4 linked regions of the Astyanax mexicanus genome follow. The protein of the gene in region 1 interacts with the protein of each later gene in a pairwise test. Links are inferred from orthologs where the notes say so. Each region holds a gene or a part of one and is shown on either strand. Other genes may lie near its edges. The genes, in order: ptn, ubqln4, chd3 and dnajb11.

Region 1 (8,512 bases):
AGCACATTAGCAAAAACGTAGCCCTACATCATAGACCAATTTCTAGAGCCTGACTTCACAGAGCCCTAGGAAAGTAGTGGGAAATCTTGGCCAGATCCAGCCCGAGTTTGGGTTTATTTTTATTAAATAGAGTGTTAAAATTGATATTTTTAACTACAGTTTGGAGTTGTTTAAATAAGCGAAATGTGTTCAGAATGATGTTAATGAACATTGCAACTGAGGTTGGGCTCCACTCCGAGTCTTTTTCTATTGTCAGTACTTCTGCATGCACCAATTGGTCCAAAAAGCACCAATTTAGATCCAAAACTAAACAAAAATACCAGTTGGGAAATGTGAAGCCCTTTAACACACTTCCCACTGACTTCCCAGCTTCTCTCAGAGCACCTGAACTTCCGCTGGCAGTAATCCTGACTCTAAGCTGATCTGAGGCCAGTCTTCCGGATGGGCCTTTGCTGGTTAATCTCTCTTTCATTAAATGCTCACCATGTGTTGATGGCAAAGAAATGAAGCGGCTCCCTTTCAGAGTAGGCCTCACCGCTGCGGCTTTTGTGTGCGGAGGAATGAAGCAGAGTTTGGTCTGGCTGGAGTGACTGTGGCCGAACTGAAAATAACTATGGCAACAGCAGGAGTATTGAGGCCCTTTCTCTCTCCCTCTCTCTCTCTCTTCCTTTACAGGAGCAGCAGCTCAACTTGGTATCCCTTCCATTCCAATTCCAGTCAGGAACGACCCACTTTATAGCCTTCCAACACACACATGCTCAATGCAACATAGGAACGAACTGCTCTGCACACTGCAAGCAAACATACACATCTAGTCACACAGATATAAAAATGCAAATAAGTATTTGCACATGAAGCGCAGTGCTGTTCCAGTAAACTACAATATTCTCCACAGGTTAAAAAAGAGGAGAATCAGGTCTGCATATACTATGAGGGGCTTCGTGATAAAGAGGAAGGTGAGACACATTTTATTGCCCTTATATTCATATAACTCATTGCGGGTTCCTCAGGCAAGAAATAAACAAATCTACACTGGCTATGAATAAAAGCTCAACCACCACATTAAACTACAGAATGTTAAGCCTGTTTTAAAAAAGAAACTTTCTGAAATGAAAAAAAGAGAGAGTAAGAAAAATAAACGCCTTAAAAATATGTAGCTAGGCACTGCTAGACACCTTCTATTCAAGGGAAATGCAATTTGCTCTTCAATACATGCCAAAAAAAAATGAAAAGGACGAAATTGAGTGCTGTTCTAATCTCCCACTCAATGTCCAAACTGCATGTTCCCTCTAAGGGAACCCTTCCACCTTCTCTTTTGTGTTTTTGTTGTGTCTCAGACTCAGAAAGAGAGACAGGCTTGCTCTGTCTGTAAACGAGTCGTTATCTAGCTAATTAGCTAACTGGTAGAGACTGAAGACTGCTAAATTTGAGATGCATACTAGATCTGTATTTCCATACAAATCTACTGACTAACGTAAAAACTTTTAACAATGCTCAATTCAGACTCGCAATCAATAGACTAAACTCTGAATTGCACCTCGGAGAGTCGACCTAGACTCGCACCCCATAGACTCAACTCAGACTTGCACCTCGGAGAGTCGACCTAGACTCGCACCCCAAAAGACACAACACAGACTTGCACCCCAAAGACTCAACTCAGACTTTCACCTCGGAGACTCAACTCAGACTTGCACCTCAGAGACTCATCCCAGACTTGCACCCCAGAGACTCAACTCAGACTTGCACCTCAGAGAGTCGACTCAGACTCACACCCCATAGACTCAACTCAGACTCGCACCTTAAAGAGTCAACCTAGACTCTCACCACAGAGACTCAACTCAGACTTGCACCTCGGAGAGTCGACCTAGACTCTCATCACAGAGACTCAACTAAGACTCGCACCCTAGAGACTCAACTCAGACTTGCACCTCGGAGGGTCGACTTAGACTCGCACCCCATAGACTCAACTCAGACTTGCAGCCCGGCGACTCAACTCAGACTCTCACGTCAGAGAGTTGACCTAGACTCTCACCACAGAGACTCAACTCAGACTTGCACCCCATAGACTCAACTTAGACTCACACCCTAGAGGCTTGGCTCAGATTCACACCCCAAAGACTTAAGACTCAACACAGACTCCATAGACTTAACTCACTTGCACCCCTATTCCCCTGAGATAATAGACTTGACTCAAACTTACACCCCAGAGACTCCAAACACTCACACCCAAGAGACCCCAGAAGTTTGCTATGCAAAAAAATCAGACAAGTACACCAGAGATTTCAGAGACGAAGTTGCTTCTCAAAAATGACTCCCTCTTCAGATTGGAAGAAGTAACTAGTGAAGATTTTTGCATCTCAGAAACAAAAAGAGTTTAGTACTTTATTATGTTTTTAACCATTGTGGTATACTTCCTGAGTAAACTTGTCTCCATTTGTGCCCAACTTAAGGTGTTGTTACTCCTGCTATAATATACTGCATACATTAATTTAATTGATTTATTATTATATTGTGTCAGAATTTCAATTTGAAACACCAAATCCCTGGTATTGTGACAGACCTGTCATAGTACTAGATAAATATATCTGCTGATGTTCTTAACCATGTACTGATGTTATTTAACAAAAGGTTTGGATTATGGTTAAAAAATAACATAATTACCCAAAAAACATATAACCGATCCACTAACACAATATTAATCAACAGTGTGCCAAATCTATTAGAATCACAATATGTTACAATATATCACACTATTTTGTCTTTACTCTTGACATATATCATTTGTAACAACAATAAAGACTAGCACATTATCTCTCAGTCTTGTCACATCATCGGCGTGACATACGGAGCAGGCCTTGAGCGCTCACAGTGACCCTCACTTCATCTGTGGACTACGCTAGCTGCTTGACCAGTGCTGAGGAGACACTTGTAGGACACCCTGTCGAGCCCTCAAACACACTCGCGCCCTCACACACTCGCGCAAAGCATGGAAATTCTCTCTGACCACAAATCTCCCTCTGAAAGTTCTCTGCCTGTCTCCTCCGTGCTCACACATGACACGAAGTGATACATTCAGAGTACACAGCCTCTTCCCTCAGGCTCTGCGCTGAACCTGCTGTCTCTCCCCGGTCTCTCCTCACCCCATCCATCTACCTCTCTCTCTCTCTCTCTCTCTCTCTTTCTCTCTCAACACTTCTCCATCCCATTCTTCTAAAATCTCTCTTACGTGGTACTTACTTCTAGTTTGGTGTTTCAGCACTCAAAGCAGTCCTGACCGGCTCTTCTCATCCACTTTTTTGCGCTGATTGTGTTTTTGGCTCTTTGTCACTGTGCCTTCTCTTACACATTCACTCTCACTGTCTGTGGTAAACTCACGCTCTCTGAGCCACAGGGTTGTGCTAATGGTGTCTGTGTGTGAGTGAGTGAGGGAGTGTGTGTGTGTTGGGGTGTAGAAGAGGTGGGGGGGGGGGTTGTTGTTGTACTTGGGTTATGCCTGTGCCAGGGAGGGCGTGCTGAAAGAGCTGCTCTCAGCCCCATGATCACACCCTCATTAACACAAGGTCACCCCTGGGACGAGAGAAACAGAGGGAGGGAGAGAGAGAGAGCGAGAGCAAGCTGGAGAGTAAGAGCAAGAGAGAGAGAGAGAGAGAGAGAGAGAGAATTGTGCTGTGGATGGCTGTCAGTCAGAAAGATGGATAGTCTGAATAAACTGGTAAATGAAAAGGACCAGCTGTTCTTTCCTTGTAAACTGCAACAAGCATTCACTCTTTAAAAAAAAAAAAGAGTAAACTCCCAAAGTTCTGGAGAAATATTTACTTGCTATAGAAGTGCTGAGTCTTAGTATTAAAGTATGTAGGATTAAAGGACCAATAAAGATTATATTTTTAGTACTAAATGATCAGGATGTGTCATCACATATTAAGGGAACATGCAAAATTCAAGCACTGTCATCAGCAGAGCTAACTAGAGCTGTGTATTGTAGAAAATCTGTGTGACGTGTTGTACAGTCATATGAAAAAGTTTGGGTACCCCTATTAATCTTAATCATTTTTAGTTCTAAATATTTGGGTGTTTGCAACAGCCATTTCAGTTTGATATATCTAATAACTGATGGACACATATTATTAATATTTAATATTTAGTAATATTTCAGGATTGAAATGAGGTTTATTGTACTAACAGAAAATGTGCAATATGCATTAAACCAAAATTTGACCGGTGCAAAAGTATGGGCACCCTTATCATTTTATTGATTCGAATACTCCTAAATACTTTTTACTGACTTCCTAAAGCACAACATTGGTTTGGTAACCTCATTGAGCTTTGAACTTCATAGCCAGGTGTATCCAATCATGAGAAAAGGTATTTAAGGTGGCCAATTGCAAGTTGTTCTCCTATTTGAACCTCCTCTGAAGAGTGGCGTCATGGGCTCATCAAAACAACTCTCAAATGATCTAAAAACAAAGATTGTTCAACATAGTTGTTCAGGGGAAGGATATAAAAAGTTGTCTCAGAGATTTAACCTGTCAGTTTCCACTGTGAAGAACATAGTAAGGAAATGGTATATCACATGCACAGTTCTTCCTCATTTCAATCCTGAAATATTACTGTGTCCATCAGTTATTAGATATATCAAACTGAAACCGCTGTTGCAAACACCCAAATATTTAGAAGTAAAAATGATAAAGATTAATAGGGGTGCCCAACCTTTTTTATATGAATGTATCTGATTACTAGCTCATGACAGGTATGTCGATCATATGTCAGAAACCAAAATTTAGACTCTATATTGACTCAATTTAACTACAAATGTGATTATATGTTGAGTGATTTCTTATGTCCTAAAACAAGTAACGGTAAACATTACCTATGGCCGTTCCTAGCGACGATAACTATTTAGCTGATTATATGCATCATGTCCAAAGTTGTCTTCTTCTGGACTTCTGGGGCTTCTTGCAAACGGTCCAGAAGACTAACTCTGCATTCACACTGTCAGGCAACAGAGTGACAGGCGACCATGCATTTCCTATTGGAGGACGTGATTTGTAGCAGTAACATGGTAACAAGCAGCAACAAAGTGACAAAGGCAATTAAGCAAGACTTTCTCTTGCTTAACTTTATGCAAATTAATTATGATGTGGTAAAGTGATAGTCTTCACATCATTTTGCTTTTCATCAGCAGCCAGTTTGGCCATGCTCTCTTTGGTGAGTAAATGACACACTCTCCCCACTTTACTACTAATGTGATGTTGGTCAGCACGGGCATCTGTTAACTGATGTATCAGAGATGTGTTGCTGCGCTTTCCTTTAAGTGTCCTTTAAGCTACTCAGTGTGTCACACCTTAGCCTGTGTCTGTCCAGTGTCTTTTTTCTTTGTTTTGGTTCCTTCCTGCTCCTGTCCTGTTCTCTATTGTTTACCTGTTATGTTTCCCAGCCATGTGCTACTGTTGTGTTTGGTCTTGTCTCCGCCTTAGCCCCGCCTTGTCATCTGTAACCCCTCCTGTCTCATTTGTAACTCCACCCCTCTTTACCTCACAACAGGTGACCCTAGTGTGTGCCTGTATATAAATACCTCATGTGCTCCTTTGTTTTCTGTCGTGCTTTTTGTTTGACCGTTTCCTGTTACTCTGTCCGGATCTTGTTTATCTGTTTTGTTTAGCCTCATACCTGCTGTGTTTTTTCTCTTCAGTTTTTCCAGGTTTGCTTTGTATAGTTTGTTTCATTGTTTGCTATTTTTGCTTGTTTGTTTCAGTCTTTTAGTTTGTCCTCTGTTTCACAGTGTTTTGTTTTAGTTACCTTTTATTTATATTATTCCATAGTGTTTTGTTCTTTGTTTACTCTTTCTAATATTGAAAGTAAAACCGACTTGCGCTTGCATCCTGCCTCCTCTTTGTTACACAGTGATGCTGCATCAGTGGCAGTTAAAAAAAAGAAGACAGTAACTGACTTCACATGTGTCCTCCTATTTTTAGGGGTAATTAATATGAATGAAAACTGGGTAATTGGCTCTCCAAATTAGGGAGAAAATGGGGTGAAATAAATAAATATAAAATGTCTTCTTGTAAGAAATATTGCCAAACTCTGAAATGCGCTTTATCCAAAAGATGCCAAGAGGCTGCTGCATGCATTAATAACCTCAAGGCTGGACTACTGAAATGTTTTGCTGGCTAGATGCTCATGTGAATCGTTAAACAGGCTCCAGACGGTTCAGAATGCAGGTGATATATTGCTCATCACAACTTTATCCACAGACAATGACCACACTACTCCTGTTTTCTTATCCGATGATTATTAAATTTGCTTTCTTTTGAAACAACCCATCACATTCACTTAGCTCACAAAACACTGGCCATTTTTCATAGCTCCCTAACTACGAACAACAATCATGTCACAGTTTGGAACTCAGACATACTCTTAACCTTCAAATATAATTTAAAAATCTATGTCACAACTCTATGCTGTTAAAAAAATAAACTAAAATTAGATATAGTTTCCATAAACAGCAAGTTTTCTATGTCTATTTAAAGGCATATTGCTGATTGAGTTTGGTTAATGTTACATAATTACTGTTTTTTGTTTAATTCATGAGCTGTTTATATGTTGTCACTGCTTTCAAACTTATTATAGATTTCTAATTAATATTGTTGTAGCCTGTTCAAATATTATTGTTAAAGCAGCAATTGGATATTTCTCGATTTTGGCTTCTCTTACAGTTGAGTAGAGTGTACAGGGTTCGTACGGTCAAGAAAAACCTGGACAAGTCATGGAATTTCAAAACAGCAATTTTCAGGCCTGAATACATTTTGGAAAATTAAAAATACCCAGAAAGTTTGGGAAAAGTAATAGAAATTTGCTCTACAAATCTTTGTGATTCAATTTATTGACGGAGAAAGGCTATTTTGAGCGAAAAAAAATACATCAGCTTAGTTTTAGGACTGTAATCAATTTGGATTATAGTTGATAAGTTGTTTTTTGGTTTTATTGTCCATGTCTGCACAGATGTTTTAAGGATCGTATGGTCATGAACATTTTCCTAGAAGTTATGGAAAAGTACTTAAAAATGTATTGGCGCTCTGACTTTGGCGTATTGATATCTTAATAGCGCAGGGCCTGACCTGCTTGTACACACTGAGAAGGTGCGCCAGCAGCTCATTTACTGGAACAGCAATGTTATTTTATACTTTATTCTATTTATTGTTGATGTGTATGTGTGTGTAAGGAGTGGGGGTGTACACTGCATAGCTGCAGGGCTGTTGACTGTTGTCAGTGTTTTAATCGGTCAGTGGCGCGCCTGTATTTCCCAGACCACCAGAAATATATCTGAACACACCTCACTTCCAGACCACCACGCCCATCAGTGTAGATTTATTCAACAACTCCAATGCTAGTTTAACAGCGTGGACGTAAGGCCAGAAAATAGACTGCTGACAGGGTGTAAGGTAGCAACTGTCTAATAAATCATATTACCTCTGCTAGGCAAAGCCTAATTTTACAGTCATTTTGTCATCCATTGTGTAACAGATTGCAAAAGTGTCAGCTTTACTGCTCTGACAGCCTGTATCGTTCAGTCTGGGTAAAGATCTAGAAAATACATTTTTTCTGTCTCTTTAGAGGTTCAGTTGTAAACATGCACAGCTGTATTTAATAGTCATTCCCCATAAACGATGCTAACAAATACATCAAGCATCTCATTGCTGTTTATAAGCATCCTTCTTACTGTGTCTCATATAAAACAGATTATTTATCTGGAAACGTTCTATAACTTGATGCAACATTAGTCACTGTTTACTGCTGCACCTGCTTTGATCAAGATTAATGTTCTTGCTTTAGAAATTCTCTCCTACATTTGGAATGCAGTCTGTTTCTTTTATACAAAGGCTTCTTTTTTGTGGTAAAATGAGGCCTTTGTTGTTGATTTCACACTCATGAGTTTGGCAGCTTCATTGGAAATTGCAAATTATGTCTATACGCAGTGACTTGTGCACTAAACGGGTATAGAAACCGTGTAGAACACGTTCTTTTGCTTCTTTTAGACAGACAGGTGGAGAGTTATCTGGACAGATGAAAAACACCCATAACACAACTAGATCCAATTTTCCTTTGACATCAAAAACAAAGCTATTACTTAAATTATCAGTCTTTGATTATGCTGAAAGAGAAGAACATTCATTAGCACACAAGTATGTTCAGAATACACAGTTTTTTTCTTGCAGCAGGGGTGGCAGAAATTAACCATCAAAAAGTGTACTTCACCATAAGACACAAAATTATTTTTCCCACACTTTTTATATAGGATTTTTTGTTTCTTGCTAGTGAACATTCATACATGCAAACTTATCGGCTCTGGCTAACAGCCCTGCGACATCAGGAGGCGGCGAGATGGACAACAATTAGTAACATTTTAAAATAAAGACATTTTTACACTAATAACAGTCTTTGCAACAACATATGTCACTTTACAACATGTGTAATGGCCTGCTAAGTGCAGTTCAGCCACTAACCTAGTCTTAGA
Region 2 (8,619 bases), on another chromosome or scaffold:
TTTTAGATTTTATACATATTTTAAACATTTATATATGCTGCTTCATACCAATTTTGCACTATAGGCAAAGGTCATTTCTTCAATCATTAAGTGATCAGACTTTATTAAATCTTGATTACATAATGATAGTGCCACCTGGTACTGGTCTGAACACACCCGGCCATTTATTTAATTTGTGTCAATACATACACTCAAACAATTACGTAAAAGAAGTGTCAGAAGGTAGATAAAGTGCATTAGGACATATTGTTCTCCTTACTGAACTGGATTTAATGAAGCTACGTGAGCCCAGGGATCTTTATAAGGTAATAGGTTAGATAACTGCTGCTAATCATATGTAGACATAAACAGAGAAAGTAAATTAGACGGTGATCAAAAAGCTGACGGTTAGCACTTTTTATTTAAAAATGTATTTAACTTTTATGTATTTTGTCAATACCTGTTTACTGTAAACTGTGATATAACTAAATTGCACCAAATTAAATTTTAATTAAATACTTAAAAACTCCTGCTATATTAATAGTTAAGTTATCTATGTATTCCAAAAAAATGAATTTACTTAGTTCTGATAGTATTATTCTTTATTAATATTGCATATTTTCCTCTTAAGTCACCTAAACAGCTTCTACCCATAGACGTCTGGGGGTTTTCTTAGTACCAAGACTGAAAAATGGACTTTTGTGCTTGGACTGAAATAACCTTACAAGAACAAACTCAGTAGAACACAAGAACACAAGAACGGATGACCAATATATGCAGTGCACTTGCTATTTTAGGATATTAAATAATACTCTACACTCTCAGGTTAGTCACTATTATTAAAATATTACCATGCTAAGGCTAGCAAAATAGAAGAATAAAATTTACCCATTTTTTACCCATTTCCAACATTTTTCTTTTTTGAAAGCAGAACTAATAGCACCATTTGTTTAAAATAAAATAAATAAAATGTTTGATAACTGCTGCTAATCATATGTAGACATAAACAGAGAAAGTAATCAAGTAATCAAAAAGCTGACAGTTAGTACTTTTTATTCAAAAATATATTTAACTTTTATTTATTTTCTTAATACCTGTATACTGCAAACAGTGGTAGAAATAAACTGCACCAAACTGAACATCTTACATTTCTTAAATTCCAAATAATTTAAGAAAAAACAACTCCTGCTATTTTATTAACCCTTGTGTGGTGTTCGGGTCTGTGGGACCCGTTTTCATTTTTCATCAAATGATACTAAAAAATATTTTTTCTAACTCAAACTCATTGGCATTGGCTCATTTTTTGTGAAAAACATATATCAAAACACATTTTCGATAAACACACACTGTCCCCCCCCTACACATTTATATTACATACAGTCTGTTTGGCCAAGGGCTAATAAACATTGCTTCATTTGTAAATTTGAAACTAAACAAATTTTCTACTCATATCTTGAGTTTAATTCATTTTCTTTTACATTTTATTAAACTAATAAAAAAGATTAGCACTTTTTGAAAGAAATGTAACATAAGAAAGGTAAAGGGCAAATATTAACCATGTAAGCTGTTTATATTGCTTGCAATTTAGGTGAAGCGAGCATGTGTAAAGCATTTTAATTGCTTAATTTTGCTGAATTAAATACAAGTAACAAAGTAAACGAGTAACAAAAATATGAACACCACACAAGGGTTAAAGTTATCTATGTAATCCAAAATTAGAATTAGCTTTTTTGAATTGGTTTATTCTTTATTAATATGGCATAGTTTCCTCTTAAGTTACCTAAACAACTTCTACCCATAGACGTCTGGGTTTTTTCTTATTACAAAATTGAAAAATGTACTTTTGTTCTTGGACTGAAATCACCTTACAAGAACAAACTCAGTAGAACACAAGAATATAGGACCAATATATGCAGTGCACTTGCTATTTAAGGATATTAAATAATACTCTACACTCTCAGGTTATTGAAATATTGTCCTTGGTTTTTAAGACAGAGCAATAACACATCTGGGAATTTTCTTGATAAATGCATTCTTGAGTAATCTCAAGATTAAGTTCATCTGTAGTTATGAAACAGTCCAGCTTCTTAATAAAAGCAATATCTCAGAGTTTCGTGTAAGATATTTGTGTAAACCTTCCTCCAGAACAGTAAGACCCGTCTACACACGCCACACTGGAACACTCTCTCTCTCTATTTCTCTCCTTCCCCTCTCTCTTTCTCTCTCTAATTCTCTCTCTCTCTCTTTCTTCTTCTTCCTGTCTTGTTCTCTCTCTCTCTATTTCTCTCCCTGTCTCTCATCCTCTCTCTCCTTCCCCCCTTCTCCCAGTCTCTTTTTTCTTTCCTTTCTTCTTACTCACTCACTCTTTCTCTCACTCTCCCTCACTCACTCTCCCTGCCACTCTAAAATTGTATTGGTGGTCTGGAAGTGAGGTGTGTTCAGATCAATTTCTGGCATATTTCCCAACTTTTACATCAACAAAAAACTAAATACTATTAAAATAATTAATAATAATAACAACATTGCTGTTTCTGTAAATGATCTGCTCATACATCTGTACAGCGTGAACAAACAAGTCAGTTTTCTCTGCTGAAAAGCGCAGAAGCGCTGGTATAAAATACCAATCCGCCAAACTCAGAGCGCACCTGGCTCTTAAAGGGAATGGCGAGTGACACAATGATTGGTTTATTTACAGTATGCCCTTTGCACTTTTTAACCCTTTGAACCCTATGGACGAATTTTCCTTCCAAAATCGCACCTTGTGTTCTCAGCTTAATTACTCAGGAATCCCTTCACACATTAACATAATCCATATATGATTAGAAAGGGAAGAACTTACTCTTTCTAAAAATAGTGATCACATCCCAGTACTTACTGTAGCATCTACAAAAAACCCATTGAGAAAAACACATAATAAAGTGGGATCTCCTGCCCCAACCACTATTATTTACCTTTAGTGCTTCAAACACATTTATATGATGTTTCAAACCAAATAAATAAAGACTCAAAAGTGTCCACAAAAAAAGTGTGAAACTACCTGCTTTACTCAAACTAAAGCTAGGTATGGTGTGCGCACTACTTTATATAGTTTTTATTTTACTTGCACATTTTTATTAAGTAGTTATTTTGCACTAAACATTTTTATTTATTTAGACTGAAAAGTTACATTTTTGTATCTAGTTTTCTTTGTGTGTCCTGATTAAAATACTGAAAGGCATAGTCTGCTCTGAGTGTCAGGTTTTTAGTATCTACATGTATCCTAGAGGTGTGATTATTGATTATCAAGATAAATAAATCCACCTGATGCTGTTTCTCCATGTATTTTGTTAAAGTAATAAATAATAAGCTATGTAATGAACTTTCATCAATATTCTTATTATTTTAACTCATAAACACTCTAGTCTAACAGTTTTTGAAAAGATATCTCAGGTGTAAATATATTTTAAAGTCTATAGATTCAAAAATAAGTTAAAAAAAAAAAAAAACAGGCACTTGGTAAAATTTTGACCAAAACATGATCAGTTCCCTTTTACATTTTAAATGATTATATTTTTGAGCAGTCGTATGTCTTCTGGAGTAAAAGAGATCAGGGCATGTGACTGTCTGATATAATTACTGTGTTATAAGACCTGAGTTCATAGGGTTAGATAGAAACAGCCTAGGGTTCAAATGGTTAGACAGACAGACAGACAGACAGATAGATAGTTTTGGAACTTTTGGCCATCCAGCAGCAGATATACACAATACACAACAGTTAGTAAGGAAGGATAAAATAAAACAATACTATGAAATATAAAGTATAAGTACAGTAGTGTGTAATGGAGGTAGTGCAGTTGAACACATTAGACAATGAACACCAGTTGATGTGCATATTATGAGGGTAACTGATGCCAGCCATACAAAAGGTGCAAATACATAGTTATATAATAATTTAAATTTGCAGTGCAAAAACTACTAGTGCAAAATGAATCTGCACAGAACTTTACTGTAGCTGAAAAAGACTTGGTCAGGTCCAGCATCCTTCCTACATTTCTACCTTAGCAAAATCTGACCTCATGCTGCCTACAGTAAAGAGATGGTGCTATGGTACTGGTGAGTGGAAAGGTGAATGGTGTACTGGTACCATCTACAGGGCAGAGTGGGCAATGTTCTTAAGTAAACTGATCCCCTTATACTGAATCTAATAAATATCAGCATGAGCCTTCTTTTACCCATTATAGAAAAAAAAAAACATATAAAACAGAACTATTTGTTCCTGATGTGCTTCAACTGTTTTAAATTCATTTAAAAAGTGTACAAAGACCATTACAACCATTATAATTAAAATCTTGTTGCTTTCAGAATGGTGTATTTAATGCGTGAACGTATTCTGTATTTATTTATTTATTTTAGTTCCATCAAACATTGTTTGACACCCAATTTCAGGCCAATATAGGCCCAATATTAATAATTGGTTGACACCCAACATCGGGCCAACATAGGCCCAATATTAAACATCGGTTGGCACCCACCATCAGGCCAACATAGGCCCAATATTAAACACCAATTGACAACCAAAGTATAGGTCCAGTGTCAAATAGCGGTTTGCATCCAACATCAGGCCAACATACGCTTAACGCCAAAAATTGCCAAAGTAACCAAAGTCAATATCAGTAAATTTACCCATAGTACATGTAATTCGTTATTTTTTTCATATTTTGTCACAAAGTGTATTAATGTAATATTAATGCAGTTTCTCTGATTTTGCTATTTATAGGTATATGTTTGAGTAAAAATAACATTGTGGTTTAATTTTATTTATTTTTATAAACTACGGACAATATTTCTCCCAGATTCCAAATAAATTTGCTTTTATTTGCAGAAAATAAGAAATGGCTGAAATAACAAAAAAGATGCAGAGCTTTCAGACCTCAAATAATGCAAATAAAACGAGTTTATAGTCATAAAGTTTTAAGAGTATAGAAATCAATATTTGGTGGAATAACCCTTGTTTTTAATAAAAGTTTTTCATGCATCTTGGCATGTTCTCCTCCACCAGTCTTGCACACTGCTTTTGAATAGCTTTATGCCTTTACTCCTGATGCAAAAATTCAAGCAGTTCATCTTGTTTTGATGGCTTGTGATCATCCGTCTTCCTCTGAATTATATTCAGAGAAACTCTTTAAGTTTTTAAGTGGTCTCTTATTTTTTCTAGAGATGTATATGTGTGTGTGCGTGTGTGTGTGTAAAAGTGTGACTGGGCGCGCGCGGCTCCGCGTGGGGGCGCTGTTTCCGGTCCGCTCTTGTCGCTGCTCTCGCGGCTCTTCTCGCGGTGACGTGATGAAGTGAAGAGAGCAGAGAAAAGATGGCGGAGAACAGCGGCGCGGACCCCGCCGTGGAGGGAAAATCCGAGGAGAATGCGGCGACCGGCGGCACCATCATCATGGTCACCGTCAAAACGCCCAAGGACAAGGAGGAGATCGCCATATCCGAGGACGCGTCCGTCTCACAGGTAACCCGGGCCGCCGCCGCCGCTCCGTGTGTTCGTGTACATGTAGCTGTGTGTGTGCGGGTGTGTAGCTGTGTGTGTGAGAGCGGCTCAGTCAGCTGTCCGACATGAATCGGCTGATCCAGAATCAGCGGCGATCAGTTCAGCGCTGCTTTTCGGGCTGAAACCGTCTGTGTAACTCACATTTGAACACACAGCTTTAATGTTACACTCCTTATTAACTGGTGTGTGCGGGTTTTGAGTGGGTAGTGCGGATTTAACGCAGCATTTATGAGGAAAATGAAGAGGAGAAAGTCGGCCTGGCTCTCAGTTCATACCTGGTGTTCCGTCGAGTTCTGCTAGCCGTCGAATTTGTGCAGCTCAAGCGTTCTGCGCATGCGCGGACGAATTGTTCTTTAGACATATGACGTGTTTTTCGTGATGATTCTGTTTTTAAATCATTTTAAACTTCATTTCTATCCACCCCATTCAGTTTGTAACTGTTTTATTTAGGTTTATTTACATTTTAGTTTATTTAGTTTATTATTTATGTTCGTTATTTTTTATTTTATACTTTGTTGTAGCTTTTGTCATTGTATTTTTACATTTTGTTTCATTTTATTTTCCGTTTTGCCTTTTAGACTATTCCATTATCATTTGTTTTGTTTTTATTTGTTGATTTTAATGTCCAGTCTTCATTTGATTTTATGTATTTTATTTTATTTACACTTAACATCACCTTCCTTTTATTGTTTTTAGCTACTTAAGAAAATTTTGTATCTGTTTTATCTAGATTAAGAAGCTATATATATTTTTTTTACAATTTGTCCTCTTAATAGGATTTTCTGAGAAATATTTTAGCATTTTGAAACATTATAACCCATAGCATATACTATACTTATATTCACGATTTTAATTAAAATCATTTTAAACTTGTCCTCCACTCAGCTTGTAGCTGTTTTTGTTTTTTTATTTTAACTTTTCATTTTCACTTTTTATTTCATAGTTCATTTTAGCTAGGTAGCCTCATTGTACTTTTTTTTTGACAGATTTTATATTTTTCTCTTTTAATTTTCTTTTACGTTTTGTATTGTCTTTTTATAATGTCTTAGTAATAAGTCTTTATTTGATTTTATATATTGTATATAGTTTGCACTTTTCTATCCTTTTATTGTTAATTAGCTTATTATTTTCCTCCGGGCTTTTAGCTACTTAAGATTCTTTTTAGATTGAGAACCTATATACATTTCTCTTTTTCCCGCTTAAAAGGAATTTGTAATATGCTTATTTTACCCTTTTTGAGTATTATAACCCATATTAAAGACTGTTTTATTTATTTATAGCGGTTACACAGCCTTATCTATAGTAAGGTGTACATTGTAACTAGACGGTGGTAGCAGGTTTCGAAAGGGTAGCACAAATCGACAGGACACCCGGCTAGCTTCTATGGCGGCAGCGCGTAGCTAGTTAGCTATTCCTTCCTACTGAAACAACCTCTTTTTGTGCGTGTAAAGGTTTTAATCGCTACTTTAACCCTTTATTATCAGTTTAACGCGATTAAACACGGCAGGTTTGCTTCATAAGTGCTCGTTTTGTCTCTCTGGAGAGGGTAGCGGCTGTTCTGCGCACTGTCTGAGGCGACGGCAGATCGAGCTCGGTTGGCTACCGCTAAGTAAGCTAGGCTGTTAGCATTAGCTTAATATTAGCTGAGTTAGCCTAGCCGTTAGCTTAGCTACGGAAGGTTCTAGCCCTACAACTCAGCTGCTAATTTTTACTTAGTCATTTCCCCTGTTTTAGAGGGTTTTATTCACCTATAGTGTCCAAAAGGAGGCGAATTAGGCCTGAATTCACTATATGAACACTGATGTTTCACTCAAACGCAGCTAGTTAGCGATATAAACACGGTTTTAGCCGGTTAACCTGCTAATTGTTGATAATGGGGATTTAATTAACAGTGATGGTTAGCTAGCTAGTTAGGTTGGTTACTAATGTTTTAATGTGGATTTAAAGCAGATTAATGAGCTGGTAATACATTTTGTAGGTCTATATCTTTAATAAACATCAGGTTCAATCTGTCTATTTAAACTCGAAATACATTGAGGGTTTCACTCATTTACAATGTAGCCAAGCCAGTACACAGGTAAGGGACTGTCAAAGAAAAAGAATGAATAAATAAATAAAGACCCAGAATTTTAATAAGATTTTAAAATTACATCTCAAACAAATGAGATAATAAGAATAAGAAATTAGTTGGAATTATAAATTTACAGGTTAAAGGTAATAAAAATGTAAGGTATGCAGTTACAGATGAATGAATGAACAAATACATAAACTTGATTAAAATAAACCCTTGTGTTTCTCTCGAGGAGCAGGAGAGAACCAGCCAACTTTTCATACACTATTTTTTATTCAGTTTTTTGCTTTATTTTGTCAGCTTGCTAAAATGTCCATCCCTGTGCAGATGAGAGATTCCCTGTGTTAGATATTAGTAGTTTGTTTTATTATTTTATCTGGACCCTCTCTTTTATTTTCCTACAGGTCCAATAGACATGGCATACGTACCAAATATAAATCGTATGTCATAATTAAACTACGTATATAAAAATCTATACAAATAAATAAATAAGGAAAATAGAAAAACAACTACAACATATAGTTGTTTACAAAATGTGGACGAAAAAAAAAGGGGTAATGTTTGATATTCACAGTACATGTTAATAGTATACTGTTTGTGGATTTACTGGTATTTTGTCTATGCTGTAATTTGATAGTGGCCAATAACTGATTAGTTATTGGTTACATTTGTAGTGTTTTTTTTATGCTCAGTACATCTTAGTACGTCTTATGAATTGTAAAAAGAAATGAAGTTTTATTTATAAAGTTTTAATACATAATACACCGTCTCTGTTTTTACCGGTGTTCTGGGTACGTATTAATTTGATTATGCTGTTTGATAATTTGGTGTTTTTGTTTATGAAAGCTATCTTAATCTGCTGTTTATTGAACATTGTATCATATGTTTACACAATCTTTGTGTACACTGAGGTAACTTTCTGTTTGATTTTAAATGAATGAAAAAATGTTAGCCCTTTATGAGTCATTATTTATATTGTGTTAAATTTAAGATTGATACGTTTGATTGCTTTACTCAGAGTAGATTAAATAATCAAAGA
Region 3 (7,774 bases), on another chromosome or scaffold:
TCTGCAAAAATCTATAATTAAAACGTGACCTGTTCTCAGGGATGTCCATCCTCTGCAGAAAACGTGGAAAGCACAGAAATATGTCAGTTTGTAATATTGTTATTGTATATAAAATGTTGACGTTAGACCAATAATGTCCCTTTCTACATTGCAAGACCACAATAATAATAGTAATAATATTAATAATAATAATAATATGTCAAAATAGTAGAATACAAATAAGATATACATATTTCATGTAAGTAAAATAAGTATATTCTTTTATGTTTACTCTATTTTTAGAGTAATAACCATTCAGTTTTATGTAGAATATGTAATTTCAATATTTTTTACCTATTACCTATTATACAAACTGCATAAAATCTGCAAAAATCTATAATTAAAACGTGACCTGTTCTCAGGGATGTCCATCCTCTGCAGAAAACGTGGAAAGCACAGAAATATGTCAGTTTGTAATATTGTTATTGTATATAAAATGTTGACGTTAGACCAACAGTATAATTAATTATGTGTCAAAGATTTATTATATTAAGTTAATCTTTATTTTTAATTTCTAAAAATCTGTTGAAAATTCTTAGCATTTTGTTTTAGACTGTTTGGAATCTTGATTACTGAGTATTTTAGCATATTTATTAAGGCACAAAATAATAAAACAATGTCAGCTCTGGTCATATTTTAAATGGCTTAAATTGTTTAAAATAACACCAGAATTGACTGGACATCAGTAGACACAAGTAGAGTGATTTTATTTTATGTCTTCTTGCTCAGATTCGTACCCACATCGATCCATTATCGTGTTGTGTGAAATACTTCACCCCTAGAGGGCGCTTTTTGCATGTGCCCCCTCCCTGCCCTAGCACTGATTGGGCTAATGATTTCGGAAGGCCGTGGTGGAGGGACAGCCGCTATGAGGTGGGCCTGCTTTCTGCCAAGACCCGCTGGATTCGCATTATCAACACCCTCACGTCCCAGGAGCAGAGCCTGGAGGTAGGCCACACTGAACACATGGCAAAAGTGTTACAGGATACAAGGTGTATTCACAAATTTATGATGCCAGAGAATGTGTGTTTCTCTATTAAACATGCATTGCCTTTTAATAATCCCAATGGCCAAGTATGGACTATCCAGCGATGAACCAAAACGATATGGCAACATGCCTAATGTGCTGTTGGTGCTCTGCGTGCCAGCAAAACAGCTCATTCTACCAGACCTCTGAAGGTGCCCTGTGTTATTTGGCAATAAAACAGCAGATGCTTTAGGCCCTGGAAGTTGTTAGGTAGAGCTGCTACAGATCAGATTTGTTGTTCCAGTTTATCCCGCATGTGAGCATACCTGCTTTCCCCATGTTATAAAAGAAAGCAAGATTTGTCAGACCAGTAAATGTTGTTTCATTCAGTATCAGTATCTCACTGATGTGGTGGTGTGTTATGCTGGCACAAGTGAATCAGGCAAAGCAGTGAGTTTTTAAACAGTGTGTCCACACAATATTTACTCTATTAGACATAATCAAAGACGGATTCTCGTCTGTTGCTGCACAGTTTGTGTTGGTCACCCTCTAGTCCTTCATCAATGGTCACAGGACATTGCCCACAGGAAGCTCTTCAAAGGATAATGTTGGTAGACTATTCTCAGTACAGCAGTGACACTGGAGTGTTTAAAAACTTCAGCAGCACCGCTGTGTCTGTTCCACTCGTGCCAGTACAACACACACTACCTTTGAAAAACAGAGTAGAAGGAGGATAATAAAGTATGCAGTGAAACAGATTAACTACTGTCTGTAAATATAGAACAACAGAGTGCTCAGTGGAGCTGAAAAAATGGATTATGGTTGCAAAAACTGGAATGATCATAATGTTATGCCTGATCACTATCTATTGTTGTTCCAGTCACACCAACAAGGTTACATTTGATTCCAGTAGCTTGGTGCTTTTTCTGTTAGTGAGTGTACAGAAAATCATCACAGCGTCACATCATTATCTTTATCTCGCTATTCAGATGTGCAATTTCTGATTTGTACAATGCAAACCGATTTAACCCTTTAAAGACTATTGGAATTGGGTGCTGAAAATGCCTATATTTGGGATACTTCACAAATAAATTATTTTATATTTAATATATACTGAAAAAAGGTACTTTGGAGAAAGTCTTCCCATAATTTAAAGGATGTGATATGTCTACAAACTGTTGGACATGTAGTGTACTGTATGTGCATGGTTAAAAATAAATACGTGTCTGTAACTTTCCTTTTGTCAGGAAGGTTTGTTGCACTGTGCTCCCGCATGCTGAAGAGGGCAGGATTGGTCTATTCTTTCTTGTTACTTTTTCTGACCCCCCCCCCTTCCTTTTTTTTCTTTTGCCTTGCTCATTTCACCCTCCCCTTGCAGTCTGCATCTGATTCTCCTTCTTGACAAAGGGAAATGTTACTGATGTTATGCCTCTGGTAATGTAAGTGGTCCAAGACTGGGCTTGTGCTTCAGCTGTGCAGTCCAATGGCCACCACGTTCACTGCAGGGTGGGCAAGCTCACTCCTGCTACATGACCCATCTGGCATCGGGCTATTCTGCATGGTCCAAAGGCTTAACAGAGCATTCCTATTGTCTTTCTCTTTTGCTCCCCCAGCCACCCCATTCTGTACTCTCCCTCCGCTTCCCCCCTCCCTCTCCAGTGGTTCTTGGCAGTGCACCACTATTGGATCAAACTGACATAAATTCCTTTCCTCTCTTTTAGCAGATCCAGGAGGCTTTGCTTATATAATTCATATATGTGGAGGAATTTGGGTGAATGTATTTTACTTAAAGGGAAAAAAAAGCTTTACTTGTGTGTGTTAACCATGTGTGTTAACCATGTATATTAGGAATATTACTAGTAACTGAAAGTTTTTTTTCTCTTTGTTCTCTGGCCAGGTGTGTTCTGAGGAAACACTAGATGAGATCCTGCAGCGATACCTGCGCTACAACTCCCATGCGGCCAGCTACACCTGGAAGCATGACGGTGTCATTTTAGATATTAGTAAGACCCTAGAAGAAAATGGCATCCCAGATGAAGATGAGGAATTCTACAAGTGTCGCATGGATTGTGACCTCTACACTCAGTCCATATGCCTGTACTTCAACGATGACCTTACTGAACTTTGACCTGATCGCAATTTTACATTATATGAACTTCTCATTATCCCCATCATATGATGTAACTGCATTACAGTAAAGCATTACAAGAGTGTTCGATGTATGGTTAATTGTTGACCCCATTATTTTGTATTTGGCCCAGATAAACCCCATCATTCAAAGTAGAACCGTAATAGTGCCGTAACCTCACCTTAATAACAGTGGCTGGCAGTTGCTATAGTGAATGTTCATGTAAAATTCAGTAGCTTGCGCTTTAGAACATTCATATGTAGTGTTGCAACAGGGGTTCTTTGACTTTCTTTGCCCCTTTTTATATAGAACTATAAAGAAACATATTAAAAATGTAAGCTAATAAAATCATCTGCAAATTTGATTTTATTTTTTTTACACGTGAAGAACCATTTAACTTGGCAAAAACAATTTAGGCATACTAATTACATGCATTACATTTCATGGTGCATTTTTCAAACTGAGCCACTGACATAACATTTAATTAGAGCTAAGGTTATCATTTACTCCCAGGTTAATTACATACCATTGAGAGTGAAAATTACTTGTTGATATTCAGGGTCAACACAGATGATTTTCTTTTTTTTTTTGGACAAAGGGGAAACTGTGTTGTCTGGAGGTATTTTCAAGTAATTATTGCTTTGCACAGTTACACTTGAGTTCAGTCAGTGAAATTTAACAGCATGCAAGTTTCTTTTGGACACTGGGGTAAATTTTGTTCTACTGTACTTGTACTGTTTTGATTCCTTGAAAAAAATCACACAGAAAGGGATGTTTTTACAGGTCTTTTAATCGTCCATTTTCTAAGGGGAATGAATAAGTGTTTGACTCCCTCCATCCGCGCCTTAAATGGTTAATTTTTAAGCAACACAATCTGATGTAAATCTGGGCATGGCTGCGGCACAGCTTCCCAACCCCCCCGTCCGTTCTTTCCAGCCTGCAGCCAGACGAGACCGCGGCGCAAAGCCTTTCACTCCAGAATATTTTTTTATACATCGGCGGGGCCCTTTAAGACTATTAAGGTAGCCATGTTTGTTAGATTTGCGAGGCTCTCTGCAGTGCAGAAGGAGTGTTAAGGCGAGAGTGAACGCTGGCGTCCGCGTGCACTCGCAACAGTATGCAACACACACGCGTGCGCGCGCACAGACACGCACAGAGTTAGGTTAGCTGCCAGGCAAGTATTAGAGAGAGAGAGAGAGAGACAGACAGACCGAGGGAAAACAAAAACACTCAGAGCAAATGACGAGTTAATAAAATACAACAACTTAGTCTCAGCTCTACATACACCCCCTTTCTGCTGCTGGAACAATACTGAGAATGTTTTTTAGAGGAGGGAGGGGAGACGAGAGAGAGTGAGACAGAGAGAGAGAGTGCGAGAGAGAAAGGAGGAGGAGGGGGGGCGTTCTGAAATAATATAGTCAGCCATTTTTTATGTAAGGGGATTTTTCTTATTGGGGGGGTTGTTAAAAAATAAATATAAGGGCGGCCATCTTTGTTTCTCTGCCTTGTAGTGTAAAATATTCCAAAACGCCCCCCACTTTTTTCCCTGTGTGTCGATTTGAATATTCAATAAATATCATAATTCGGGAGGAATCCACTTTTTGATCTCGAGGACGGGGTCGCTGACAGGCATATAATGTCCTCTCCTCTCCGTTCTTGTGAGGAAGATGAGGGCATGGCGGTTAATTCCGAGGGAGGAGATTTTGATGAAGAAGAAGAAGACGACGGGGACCTGGACGAGAACGCAAGCGACATAAACTCGCCGGCGGCGCCTCGAGAAACTGCAGCCCTCGCCGCGCCAGGTACCGTGCAGACACGGGGGAGCTAGGGAGCGAGCGAGCGCGCGGCGGAGGAGAAAGTGAGGAAACGTAGCTACGGCGTTATATAGCGGGAAAAAGTGTGTGTGTGACCCGTAACACGGGGGGACAACAACATCTGCACTGCTAGCTAGGTTCAGTAAGTTAGCCTGCTTCGGCATAGCCCACTCGCTCACTGCGTTTCTGTGCTAAATAAAGCGTAGCCTCTAGATAAACCCCGTGGAGTTTAGTTAGTTTAACTAAACTTTCCCAGTGTCCCCATCGCTGTCCCGTTGGGCCATTCAGCACTTGCTCCGGCTAACACCAATTTCTATTGCCAAATAATGTGCATTGTCTTCTTAACCTAGCTTATGGCTGAACGTTTTTAATGATTCCTCGCTGTAAGGTTTTGCAAAAACTGCCTGAGGTTATGTCTACTACGCACGACTGCCCCAGACCTCGAATGGCGAGTGCATTATAGGTAGTAGCTATAGCTATCTTAACTAACTAGAGGGGTTGCAGAAGAGTGCAGAGCGCTGGACTACCGGTTGATTGAGACAGTGGTCAGTGTTGTGACAGACTGTAAATAAACTTGACCCGACCCACTGTCACTCTGACTGCCACAGTTCAGGGCAGGACAGACCTCCCTTTTAAGATAACTAAGCTTAGCTAGGTTAACCAACTAGCTAACGTAGCTAACTAACTAGGTAGCTAATCTAGGTGGTTCATGGAGAGTACAGTGGCTCACAGTTTATGTATTAACTTGTCATTAGCACTAACAACACTCAAACAACACAAATCCACATGAGAAAATGTATACATAGGTGGTTTTATAGTTGGCAATGTTTGTATACTTAGCTATTCAAGACAACACAATAGCTATGATGGTACACTCACTGCACATAACCTATCCATAGATCATAAAGATGTAGCTAATAAGTATGAGTAATAGTTAGACATAACAAGGAACCATATATTAAGCAGTGCTGTCTACATTCATATGATATAGCTAGTTAGCTAGGTTAGGTTAGCTATGTGTGTTTATATTATTTCACACTATTACGAAATACTGCTCGTAACTATAGATTTTATCTATAAGTTACATATATAGCTAGCTATGTCTAATATTTGGATACCAATAAGAGTTTGGCATGTGCCTTAGCCCCATACTAAGATGACCTGTTTACATGCAGATGCGTTTCTAAATCAAAACAAAAGTCTGGGCACACTTTATGGTGGCGCAATGCATATCCTCATTACACTGTTGTGTGATAACTGGTCGCCGTGCATGCATGGATGCACGCATGTGTGGATGTGTTGATTGCACTCATTGGGGCCTTTTTTCAGTTGTGCAAAAAAATAAAATAAACATAGAAAGGGGTCTCGCAGTCGCGCAGGGTGCAAAGATGCGCGCGAATCAATTAACGTTACCCCTCGTTCCCCCCTCGCGCCCTTTGCATCCCCTCTAGTGACTCCCACCAGCAGCCCGCAGCTCCTCTCCGCCCCGCTCCCAGGTGAAGAGGCCCCGCGGCAGCAGGAGGGCAGGCGCAGTTTCCTCGCGCTTTGCGTCGCGTGGCTCGCGGACGCGGCCTCTCGATCACCGAGACCCGCGTGCGCGCTGCTGCCGCCTCTGGCTGCGCGAGGCCAGCCGGGCGCGAGAAAAAAAGCTCGCTCGCTCGCCCGCCCGCTGCGTCCTAGCAACAAAGGCGGACCAGAACAGGAGAACTAATTTTACTGAGTGCAATGGCAACCGATTAGCTTGTTTTTTTGCCTCACAGGACCGAAAACCCCTAACCAGACAGCGCGTATCTGTCCTTATACTGTATCATGACCGCAGAAAGGGTTTTATTTGTTAAGTATGGTTGTGAGAGCCCATTCATGCCGCTTAACAATTTTAAAATAATTATTTTGGTACTAATTCGTTATTTTGGCATTCTAAGTCGTTATTAAGGGATAGTAAGTTGTTATTTTGGGATTCTAAGTGGTTATTTGGGGATAGTCGTTATTTTAGGATTCTAAGTAATTTTTTGAGAAACCAAGACGTTATTACTGAGTCTTTATTAGGGGATACTAAGTTGTTATTTCGGGATTCTAAGCCGTTTTTTGGGGATAGTCGTTATTTTAGGATTCTAAGTCATTATTTGAGGAAACTAAGTAGTTATTTGGGGATTCTAAGTCGTTATTTGGGGATTCTTATTTTGATCTTATTATTTTAAGATGCTAGGTAACATTTTTAAGGCGGTATCTTATTGATTTGATGGACTTGGTGTCTTTTTTAAAAGATACTTTTAACATTTCATATTCATATTAAGGTGATATGCACAGTAAGCTAGCTATAGCTCGTTAAACTACATCTCTGTAAGTTCTCTTAATCCGGGACATTTTTTTGTCTCATTTTTTAACTTTCAGGCAAAAGGCTAAACAGCTATAGCTAGCTATAGCTCCTGAGTGATACCTTGTACATAAGACAACAATTACAAGTGTAGTAAGCATACTCAATCACTTTTTGGAGCACCTGTAATTTGGCTCTTGAGAGCAGTCAGCCCAGAAACATGGCTTTGCTCTTAAGTTTAACTCTTGTAGGTCAAAGGTTGAATTGTCAGGGAAGGGATCTCTTCTTCAGCTCTACCCTCCACCCCCTGCGATGCTCCCAAGTGTCAACCCATTGTTCAGTCTAATTGCATTGGGAAGTGATTATGAGGATAATATTCAGCTTTTGTAAAGGATTAGTGTCAGTTCTGTTTAGTCACCACCTCTCTTATATGCCAACCCCCCCCCCCCCCACACACACACACTTTCTCTGTCGCCTCTTTCAGATGACGTTGAGGATGAGGGGAGGACCCC
Region 4 (8,371 bases), on another chromosome or scaffold:
GTCTCTGGTGAAGTATCTCTTCTCGATAACCTTTTAATCAGAAAGATAAAAGAACAAAATCAACCAAACCTTCACTTCTGAAGAAGTGAAAGAGAATTGACCACAAGGGTTTTTCATCATAATCTGCTAAAAGATCTACTAAATCTGCCGAATGTGGTCAAGTTCCTATTATTACTCATTTCTAAGAAATGTCTACACAACAGAATCTTTCACTCTACATAGCTGCACCTCCCCAACTACTTCTATTATAAGAGTTCTGAGAAGATATTTGCCTGTAAGCTACAGATGTATAAAAAAATCATAATACAATTTATAATTATTCAGCATTAAGCATTAAATACAGTTTAATACAGAAAAAGTATGTAAACCCTTTGGCATTACCTTAGAGATCTGCATAGCCTAGGGGTTCACATACTTTTCCCCCCCCCACTCACTGTGAATGTTAAAATGTTGCGTCAATAAAACCATGCAAACATATATATATATATATATATATATATATATATATATATATATATATATATATATATATATATATATATATATATATATATTTTTTTTTTTTTGTGTGTGGTTTTAGTTTAAGCAGACAATGTTTGTCTATTGTTGTGACTTAGATGAAAATCAGAACACATTTAATGACCAATGTATGCAAAAATCCGAGTATTCACAAAGGGTTTACATATTTTTTTTCTTGCATCTGTATATTTATTGCTAGTATCAGCTCATTAAACAACATTCTGCCGATCAATTCTTCAAATTTAGAAAAAAATTGAATATATGGACAAAAGTATTGGGACACCTGGTCAATCACTGGTCAATCTCTTCTGAAATTAGGGTGAATAAAAGGAGTTAATACTGTTTATACTGAAGTAACTGTCACTACTAATGTTAGGCTTGGTGCTGCTAAAAGGTTCACATTCATCTGCAAACAACCACTGCAACTATGGTAGATTATATTCCAGTACATACTAATATTATGAAGCATTAGAAGAAGTAAAGAGAATAAACAGTAAAGATGTTTGATTATTAATTAGTTTGATAAATAAATTAAAATCCAAAGCTGTTTTCTATGTATCTATATAGAAGTATCTTACTTTGTCAAAAAATCTGCTCAGTTTCACAGCATTAGATGAGCCAGCAGCAAAATAACGTGGATTTGTGGAGTCCTAAAGGTATAAATAGAAGAAAAAAAACAGTATCATTAATAGATAATCAGAAATTACTATTCAAATAGAGATGAAAGTGTAAGAAATACATTTTATTATTCTTTTTTTACAAGGTAGAACATTTTACATTGTGAAGAGCTAATTAACATAATTCTTATACATTATAATCACATACCAGGTTGATCTCCTCTGCGTTGAAGTCTTCAGACAGGAAGGCGGTGCGGGTCAGAACATCACTGCGCTTGTTTTCAGGTATCTGATCATATTTGGTGCCGATAATCAGGAGAGGAATGGGGTTCTCTGCAAACTGCTCTCTGTCATAATCCCTGTGTGATCACATAATAAATAAATAAAACAAGGCATAACATTTATTCTTAGGTAATCATCCTGCAGTATTTTTCTCTAAAGTGTGGATTTTTGCATCAAAACAGGCCCAAACTCAGTCCTTCTTAACTACCCTTCAGAACGGTGCCATGTACATGGCAGAGGGAGTGGGGGAGAAACCAAACACAGATTAAATGAAATCAAGTGTTGAGCATGACTTACTACACCTTATATCAGATTACAAAGTGTAACGTAGGTGTTATAAAATGGCCAGTTAGTATACTAAGTGTTTTAAACCACAGCGGCACATGTTGTGTTTGATACACTTAACACTTACTACACCACCACCAAATATCACATGGTCAATGGGGGCATAAGATGTAAGTATTAAGTAAATATCTAATAAAATTACAGAACAGTGCAGTCACTGTCACGCGATTTTACTAGATTTAAGACAAAGCAAATTGAAACTGTCATTTTTAAATGTTAAAAGTAATTTTGGATTATTTCTCTGTGTCCATACATTACAAAGAATTATGTAACAAAGTGAAGGGAACTAAAACACTGCCACATCATGCTTCTAAATGTGCACTAAAACTTCTACATTAGAATTTCTGTTCCCAGACATGTTATACATACATTACAAGCCTAAACACTGAGTTATTCACACAGATAATCATTTCAGCCTTTACACCTAAACTGATAGTGTCTTACCCATTGGACACGATCACCCCTGTAGGCGACGAGTCTTTGTTTAGTGCCTCCATCGACCAGCGATACAGGTTCTGGGAGGATTTCTTATTGGTCAGGTCATGGACTAGAATTATGCCTGAGGAAAAAAAAAACGACATTCCCATATTTTACCAGCGATATTAAAGAATACAGGCATTTTCACTAGAGGTGGCCACAACTCAATGACCCAACATGACACAATATTACTAACAATACACAATGTATATCCAGTAAGTAATAAAGTAAAGTAAAGTAATAAAGAAAACATTAAATGAGAAGAGGTGCATCCAAAATGTTGTATATCTGCACTCTCCAGTGCTTCATTTTTGTTACTTTACCATTAACTGAATTGTAGAAAACCGCTCTGGTACTTTTGACACTACTGGCACTTCCAACTGAACCTCCAACATCCCACAGTTCAATGTAATAGGTCTTCTCCTCTGGCGTGCCCTCTTTATAGTCGTGAACCTGCAGGGTGAGGTTAGTATAAATTTAATCTGTATGATCAATTTTAAATCAGTATTTTCTAACTGTGGAAAAAATTAAGAGACCACTTCAATTTCTAAATTAGTTTCTCTGATTTGGCTATTTTTAGGTTTATGTTTAAGTAAAATGAACATTGTTGTTTTATTCTATAAACTACACACAACATTTCTCCCAAATTCCAAATGAAAATATTGTTATTTAGAGCATTTATTTACAGAAAATGAGAAATGGCTGAAATAAAAAAAAAGATGCTGAGCTTTCAGACCTCAAATAATGCAAAGAAAAAAGTTAATATTCATAAAGTTTTAAGAGTTCAGAAATCCATATTTCTGAATATCAATATGTCAGGTTCTCCTCCACCAGTCTTACACACTGCTTTTGGAGAACTTTATGCTGCTTTACTCCTGGTGCAAAAATTCAAGCAGTTCTGTTTGGTTTGATCTTGTGCCCATCCATCTTCCTCTTGATTATATTCCAGAGGTTTTCAATTTGATAAAAATCAAAGAAACTCTAATTTTTAACTAATTTTTAAGTGATCTCATTATTTTTTATGAGCTGTATAAGTTAACCAAGTTGTCAACCTTACCCTGACGTCCACAGAGCAGCCTACTGTCCATGAAGGATTTCCCAGCACTTGATTTTGACACACCAGATGAACTAAAGAAGATTTCCCAACGCCTATAACCAAACAGTAAGATTAAAGCCGATGTAAATTGGCGAATAAACAATTAATTAAACATTTTAACTCCCTGCCAGAGCTAGCTAAACATTAGCTAGGTTGGCTTGTCAACCTGCAAGTGTTTACTCAGTGCTAGCTTAAAGTATCACTAGAGCAGTTTAAAAGAGCCGACAGATTAAAAACAAGACATAAAACACGGCGTGAATCATATATAAACAATTATAGTGTAACATTAACAGCTGTGTCTCACCAGAATCTCCCAACACCAGCACTTTTACTCTGTCCAGAGAAGCCATTATTAGCTAGCGTTAGCTAACCTTACCTAGCTACTGTCTGTCACTAGCGACGCCGAGAAAGCACACAGCACTACTTCCTGTTAGAAAATCAGGCAAAATAAAAGTCGAATTACCTCAGCATAAGATAAAAAAAAATATTAATTCCACTAATACTAACTTTATTTATTTATTACTTTGCAAACATAACCCAGAGTGCAGCTCAAATTGCAAACAAATGTTACCTTTCATTTTGAAAAAAAAGAAATAAAAGAAAACGTTAAATAAAATAAACATATTTTATTTAAAATAAACAGTTCAAAATTTTTTTTTATTTTTATTTTTTTAACTTAATGTTAATAATCTACTTGTTATTAGAATACTTACGAATATTTTTACTGTGACGTATATCTTGATAAAAAAAAAACACTGGAATATAATCAAGAGGAAGATCACAACTGAACTGCTTGACTTTTTTTTCTTTTCAGCAGGAGTGGCACAACATCACCCAAAAGCTGTGTGAAAAACAGGTGGAGGAGAACATGCAAAGATGATTAAAAATAAGGGTTATTCCACCAAATATTGATTGATTTCTGAACTGTTTCTGAGTTAAAACATTAGTAATATTGTATTTTTATACATATGACCTTGATTTTTTTTTTCATTGTTTGAGATTGTACGAAACTACTGCATATTTTCTGTTGTTTTGCAAATAAATGTTCTAAACGACAATATTGAAATGTTATCAGTTGTTTATACAATAAAAGAACAATATTCATGTTACTTAAAGATATAGTTAGGAATTGTCAAATCAGAGAAACTTATCATTTTTTAATTTCATTGAATTTCATGTCATTCTTTTTATTTTTTCTTTACCGGAGCTTTATTTATAATTATTTTGAAATGTTCTTGGAGACTTTGATTTTTCTATTTTATTATATTTTTTACTTCATAGTAATAATCAAATTGTTATGAAAATAGCGTTATATAGCTAGTATTATATATATACTTTCTGTGTAATTGCATATTTAAACCGTTAATTTGAAATGCCTGGCCTTTAAGGGACTTTTATTTTTTCTTTCTTTGCAGCCGGTAAGAAAATTGGGGGCGTGTCTTTCTCCTAGAACAGGAAGCGGTCACTGCACTACACAACACACAGAAAGCCGGTGTGTTTTACTGCGCTTCGGGATTAAAGCGAGACCTATGGCCGCGGGAGGGATGAAACTATCGAGTATATGCTGTCTGCTCTTATATTTAGTAGCGACAGTACTGGCTGGGTAGGTGGCAGCGCTGTTTTCTCTGTGTATTTAGTTTCTCCGCTGTGTGAAGCGGGTCTCTGGGCTGGTACACATGTTCTTCTGTGATTGGTCTGCGCCGCTCCACTCTCTGGAGCTACATGTGTGCTGTAGTGGAGGGCTATCAAATGTACCTATTTAACTACGCAGAGGGACGTTTGTCTTGATTTAAGAATAAAATAAATAACCTTAATGCTGTAGCTGTATTTAGATTATCGTTAGGTATTTGGAGAGGTTACATATAAAACTGATAACCTAGATAAGATACACCATCTGTATTTAGCCATTGTCTCTCATTCTTTCAAATTTCTTAGATTTTCTTTTTTTACTGGATAGAAGTCACAATGATCGCCTTATAATTAAAATTATACAGCTAGCTTATTATATAACCTAAATTCCTAATCACACTTTTGTTGCAAATATTTTATCCATTCAGGAGGGATTTCTACAAGATTCTTGGGGTTAGCAAATCAGCATCTATCAAAGACATCAAGAAAGCCTACAGAAAGTTGGCACTTCAGCTTCATCCTGACCGAAACCCTGATGACCCCAGTGCCCAGGACAAATTTGCAGATCTCGGAGCTGCTTATGAGGTGTGTTGTTGGTCTCTGTTTCTATTTCCACACACAGCTGAAAAGCTGGAAGTGTGATTTTTAATATAAATTATACTGTTTATTATTATTTATTAGCTTAATATAAAGTTCTTCAAATTTGAGCAGCTAAACATGTGTATATATATATAAAAAATTTTTTTATTTGTTTGTTTGTTTGTGTGTCACTGTAATATAATATCCAAGGCTTTAGCTGTATGTATGACAGGCATCATTTCAGTGTTGGGGAAACCACGGATGAATCTGATTGGTGGAGTGAAATGTGTGGCTACGTCTGATTGGTCAAAAGTCAGCTGACTGGTAGTATTGAAAACACGACGTGGAGCTGCTCTGGCGGTAGATTAGTTAACAGTTGCAGTTTTCTCAGGCGCTTTTGATTCATTTTTCAGATAAAAATAAGGTTCTCAAAACTAAAAAAAAAAGCACAGGAAGTAATAAATGGTTGTGTTGGTAGATTATTCCTATTATTTCTTTGTTTTAATCATGCTTCATGAAAATAAATCCAAATATACTAATATGCTCTCAAATACATTAACCCCTGTTTTCTTCTATCTTCTGTGTTTTTGCGCTTTTTTGCACAAATTGAGATATGTTCTCTATCAGAATAGACATTTGTCAAACAATCAAACAGCAGATTAGCACCGCCCACAAAAATAGACAGCACAATACAGTGTTACAGTTTCTGACAATTTCTGTATCGCAGTGACACGGCTAATCAAATTACAGTACAAATAATACAGCATAATTTTTAACTGTGTACAGACAGTAAGCCTTTTTCTTGCTCAGCACTGATCTCTCCAATCATTAAAGGAACATCAGAAGGCAATTAAACTAATCAGGAACAGATTGAAACCAGATTAGGTTAAAGCCACTGTCCTCTTTATTGTCTTGATGAATTATTATATTCTGATACCACTTAATGAATGACTTGTGTAATCTGAACTCAGGTGCTGTCAGACGAGGAGAAAAGGAAACAGTATGATGCCTATGGAGAGGAGGGTCTGAAGGAAGGTCATCATAGCTCGCATGGTGATATCTTTTCCAGGTAAGTGTCCAAGCAATATTATATTATTAAAGGGGTGACATTTTTTAAATTCCCTTTTATTTTAGTACATGCGGTTAAACTGCACATGTATTTATTGTGTAACAGAAAGTTAGAGACCTACCTGGCTGTTCTAGACAGCTTTAGGAAGAGCTCAGCTATAGTACTTTTTTTTTTAATGAGGATATAGTGTATGTGTTCATACAGTTGTCCAGTAGTATTACACTGCACTTTTTTGCCCCCACTGTCACTATGTATATGACTATCATGACACTCACATTTCTTCTATGTTTGTTGCAGCTTCTTTGGGGACTTTGGGTTTATGTTTGGAGGAAACAGGCAGCAGCAGGACCGGAACATCCCAAGAGGAAATGACATTATCCTGGACCTGGAAGTTACACTGGAGGAGGTTTATTCTGGAAATTTTGTTGAGGTAAGATAACCACTAATTCTCTGGTCTTAATAATTCCATAACTCCTTAATAAAGTGTTTTATATAAATATGTTTTATATAAATATGTTTTAAATTAAATCGTATTCTTATTTGAGCTGTGCAAAACATCACAGTAATCTGTTATTTACCACCATATTACCACCATATATATTTCACTGATTAGTTACAGACTACAGCTACTCGATGCTTACCATTATGTGCCAATTTGGCAACCCGCATGAGTTTCACATCTGGGGAGGAGTGGGTAGGGCAGAAATCTCTACCCAGTGTTTGGAAATTGGACTTCTGTAACAATTTTACACACTCACTTGCATTTATAACTGATTTTTCCTTTAATACATTTCGTGTCATATCCTCTGGTTCAGCATGGGAAGGATGCTGTTCTTCCTTGTTTCTTATTGTCACATATTTCCTCTCTTCACATTTCCCTCTTTTACTATGTAGGTAGTGCGAAACAAGCCAATTGCTAAAGAGGCACCAGGAAAAAGGAAATGCAACTGTCGCCAGGAAATGAGAACTACACAGCTCGGGCCAGGCCGCTTCCAGATGACCCAGGAAGTAGTCTGTGATGAATGCCCAAACATTAAGTAAGTTCTGCTTCCACTTTCCTCAAATAATAATGATGTAACTTGCTAATAGATGATAAATGGTGCGCACATGTTTACAGTGTGTTTTTACTCTTTGCAGGCTTGTGAATGAAGAGAGGACACTAGAGGTGGAGATTGAGCAGGGAGTCAGAGATGAGATGGAATATCCCTTCATTGGTGAAGGTATTTTAACCGCAGTGAAACTAATGATTTTATTATACAAAGTTCTAGAATGCAGGTATTGGTATGTGGTTAAAAATATATCTGAGAACAGCAATATATGTTTGGTCATTTGTGTGCAGGGGAGCCACACATTGACGGAGAGCCTGGAGATCTCCGCTTCCGTATCAAAGTCTTAAAGTAAGGATTGGTTATTTCAGTTAATTTTTTTATGATAATGACTGGATCAATTTATTACTAGCAACTATTGAAACATTCCATGTCAGTGAAAACTGAATTTAAATAGAATCATTTATGCCTTTTGGGCTCACTAGGTTTGTATGTAGTTTGGATTGCACTGTATTGCATGCATGAGTGTGGGGTTTCCTGCATTGAATAGGGATCAGATTTTTTTGCTAGAGGGGGTTGTCTGTACCTAGAACTTAGGGGACTGTAAAAGAAAGGTTTACCAATAATTGCTGAAGAGTGGGAAATCTTAATGCATCTACTTATTCAATATCTTTTTCTCTGCAGACATCCGCTGTTTGAGCGCAGAGGTGAT

Evidence for each region.
Region 2: the proteins of ptn (region 1) and ubqln4 interact in a two-hybrid assay, tested with the Homo sapiens proteins (2 studies listed by BioGRID and IntAct). The link is inferred for Astyanax mexicanus from reciprocal best matches to the Homo sapiens genes PTN and UBQLN4.
Region 3: the proteins of ptn (region 1) and chd3 interact in a two-hybrid assay, tested with the Homo sapiens proteins (2 studies listed by BioGRID and IntAct). The link is inferred for Astyanax mexicanus from reciprocal best matches to the Homo sapiens genes PTN and CHD3.
Region 4: the proteins of ptn (region 1) and dnajb11 interact in a two-hybrid assay, tested with the Homo sapiens proteins (2 studies listed by BioGRID and IntAct). The link is inferred for Astyanax mexicanus from reciprocal best matches to the Homo sapiens genes PTN and DNAJB11.

Annotation. Positions count from the first base shown.
Region 1 is NC_064409.1:45,675,320-45,683,831, forward strand, and holds the start of ptn (pleiotrophin), read right to left. Parts: upstream 3,438-8,512; 5' UTR 3,238-3,437; intron 1-3,237.
Region 2 is NC_064408.1:115,871,102-115,879,720, forward strand, and holds the start of ubqln4 (ubiquilin-4), read left to right. Parts: upstream 1-5,289; 5' UTR 5,290-5,323; coding exon 5,324-5,470; intron 5,471-8,619. UniProt on the Homo sapiens protein: Regulator of protein degradation that mediates the proteasomal targeting of misfolded, mislocalized or accumulated proteins.
Region 3 is NC_064415.1:23,862,438-23,870,211, forward strand, and holds the start of chd3 (chromodomain-helicase-DNA-binding protein 3), read left to right. Parts: upstream 1-4,398; 5' UTR 4,399-4,770; coding exon 4,771-4,936; intron 4,937-6,999; exon of another isoform or gene 7,000-7,574; coding exon of another isoform or gene 7,575-7,624; intron 7,625-7,726; coding exon of another isoform or gene 7,727-7,746; coding exon 7,747-7,774. Other genes in the region: cytochrome b5 domain-containing protein 1, read left to right, coding at 769-987, 2,904-3,134.
Region 4 is NC_064418.1:3,062,368-3,070,738, forward strand, and holds the start of dnajb11 (dnaJ homolog subfamily B member 11), read left to right. Parts: upstream 1-4,783; 5' UTR 4,784-4,865; coding exon 4,866-4,939; intron 4,940-5,393; coding exon 5,394-5,550; intron 5,551-6,515; coding exon 6,516-6,613; intron 6,614-6,910; coding exon 6,911-7,043; intron 7,044-7,507; coding exon 7,508-7,650; intron 7,651-7,750; coding exon 7,751-7,833; intron 7,834-7,952; coding exon 7,953-8,010; intron 8,011-8,343; coding exon 8,344-8,371. Other genes in the region: rabl3 (rab-like protein 3), read right to left, coding at 1-30, 1,098-1,169, 1,345-1,495, 2,208-2,322, 2,564-2,693, 3,298-3,389, 3,641-3,686. UniProt on the Homo sapiens protein: As a co-chaperone for HSPA5 it is required for proper folding, trafficking or degradation of proteins.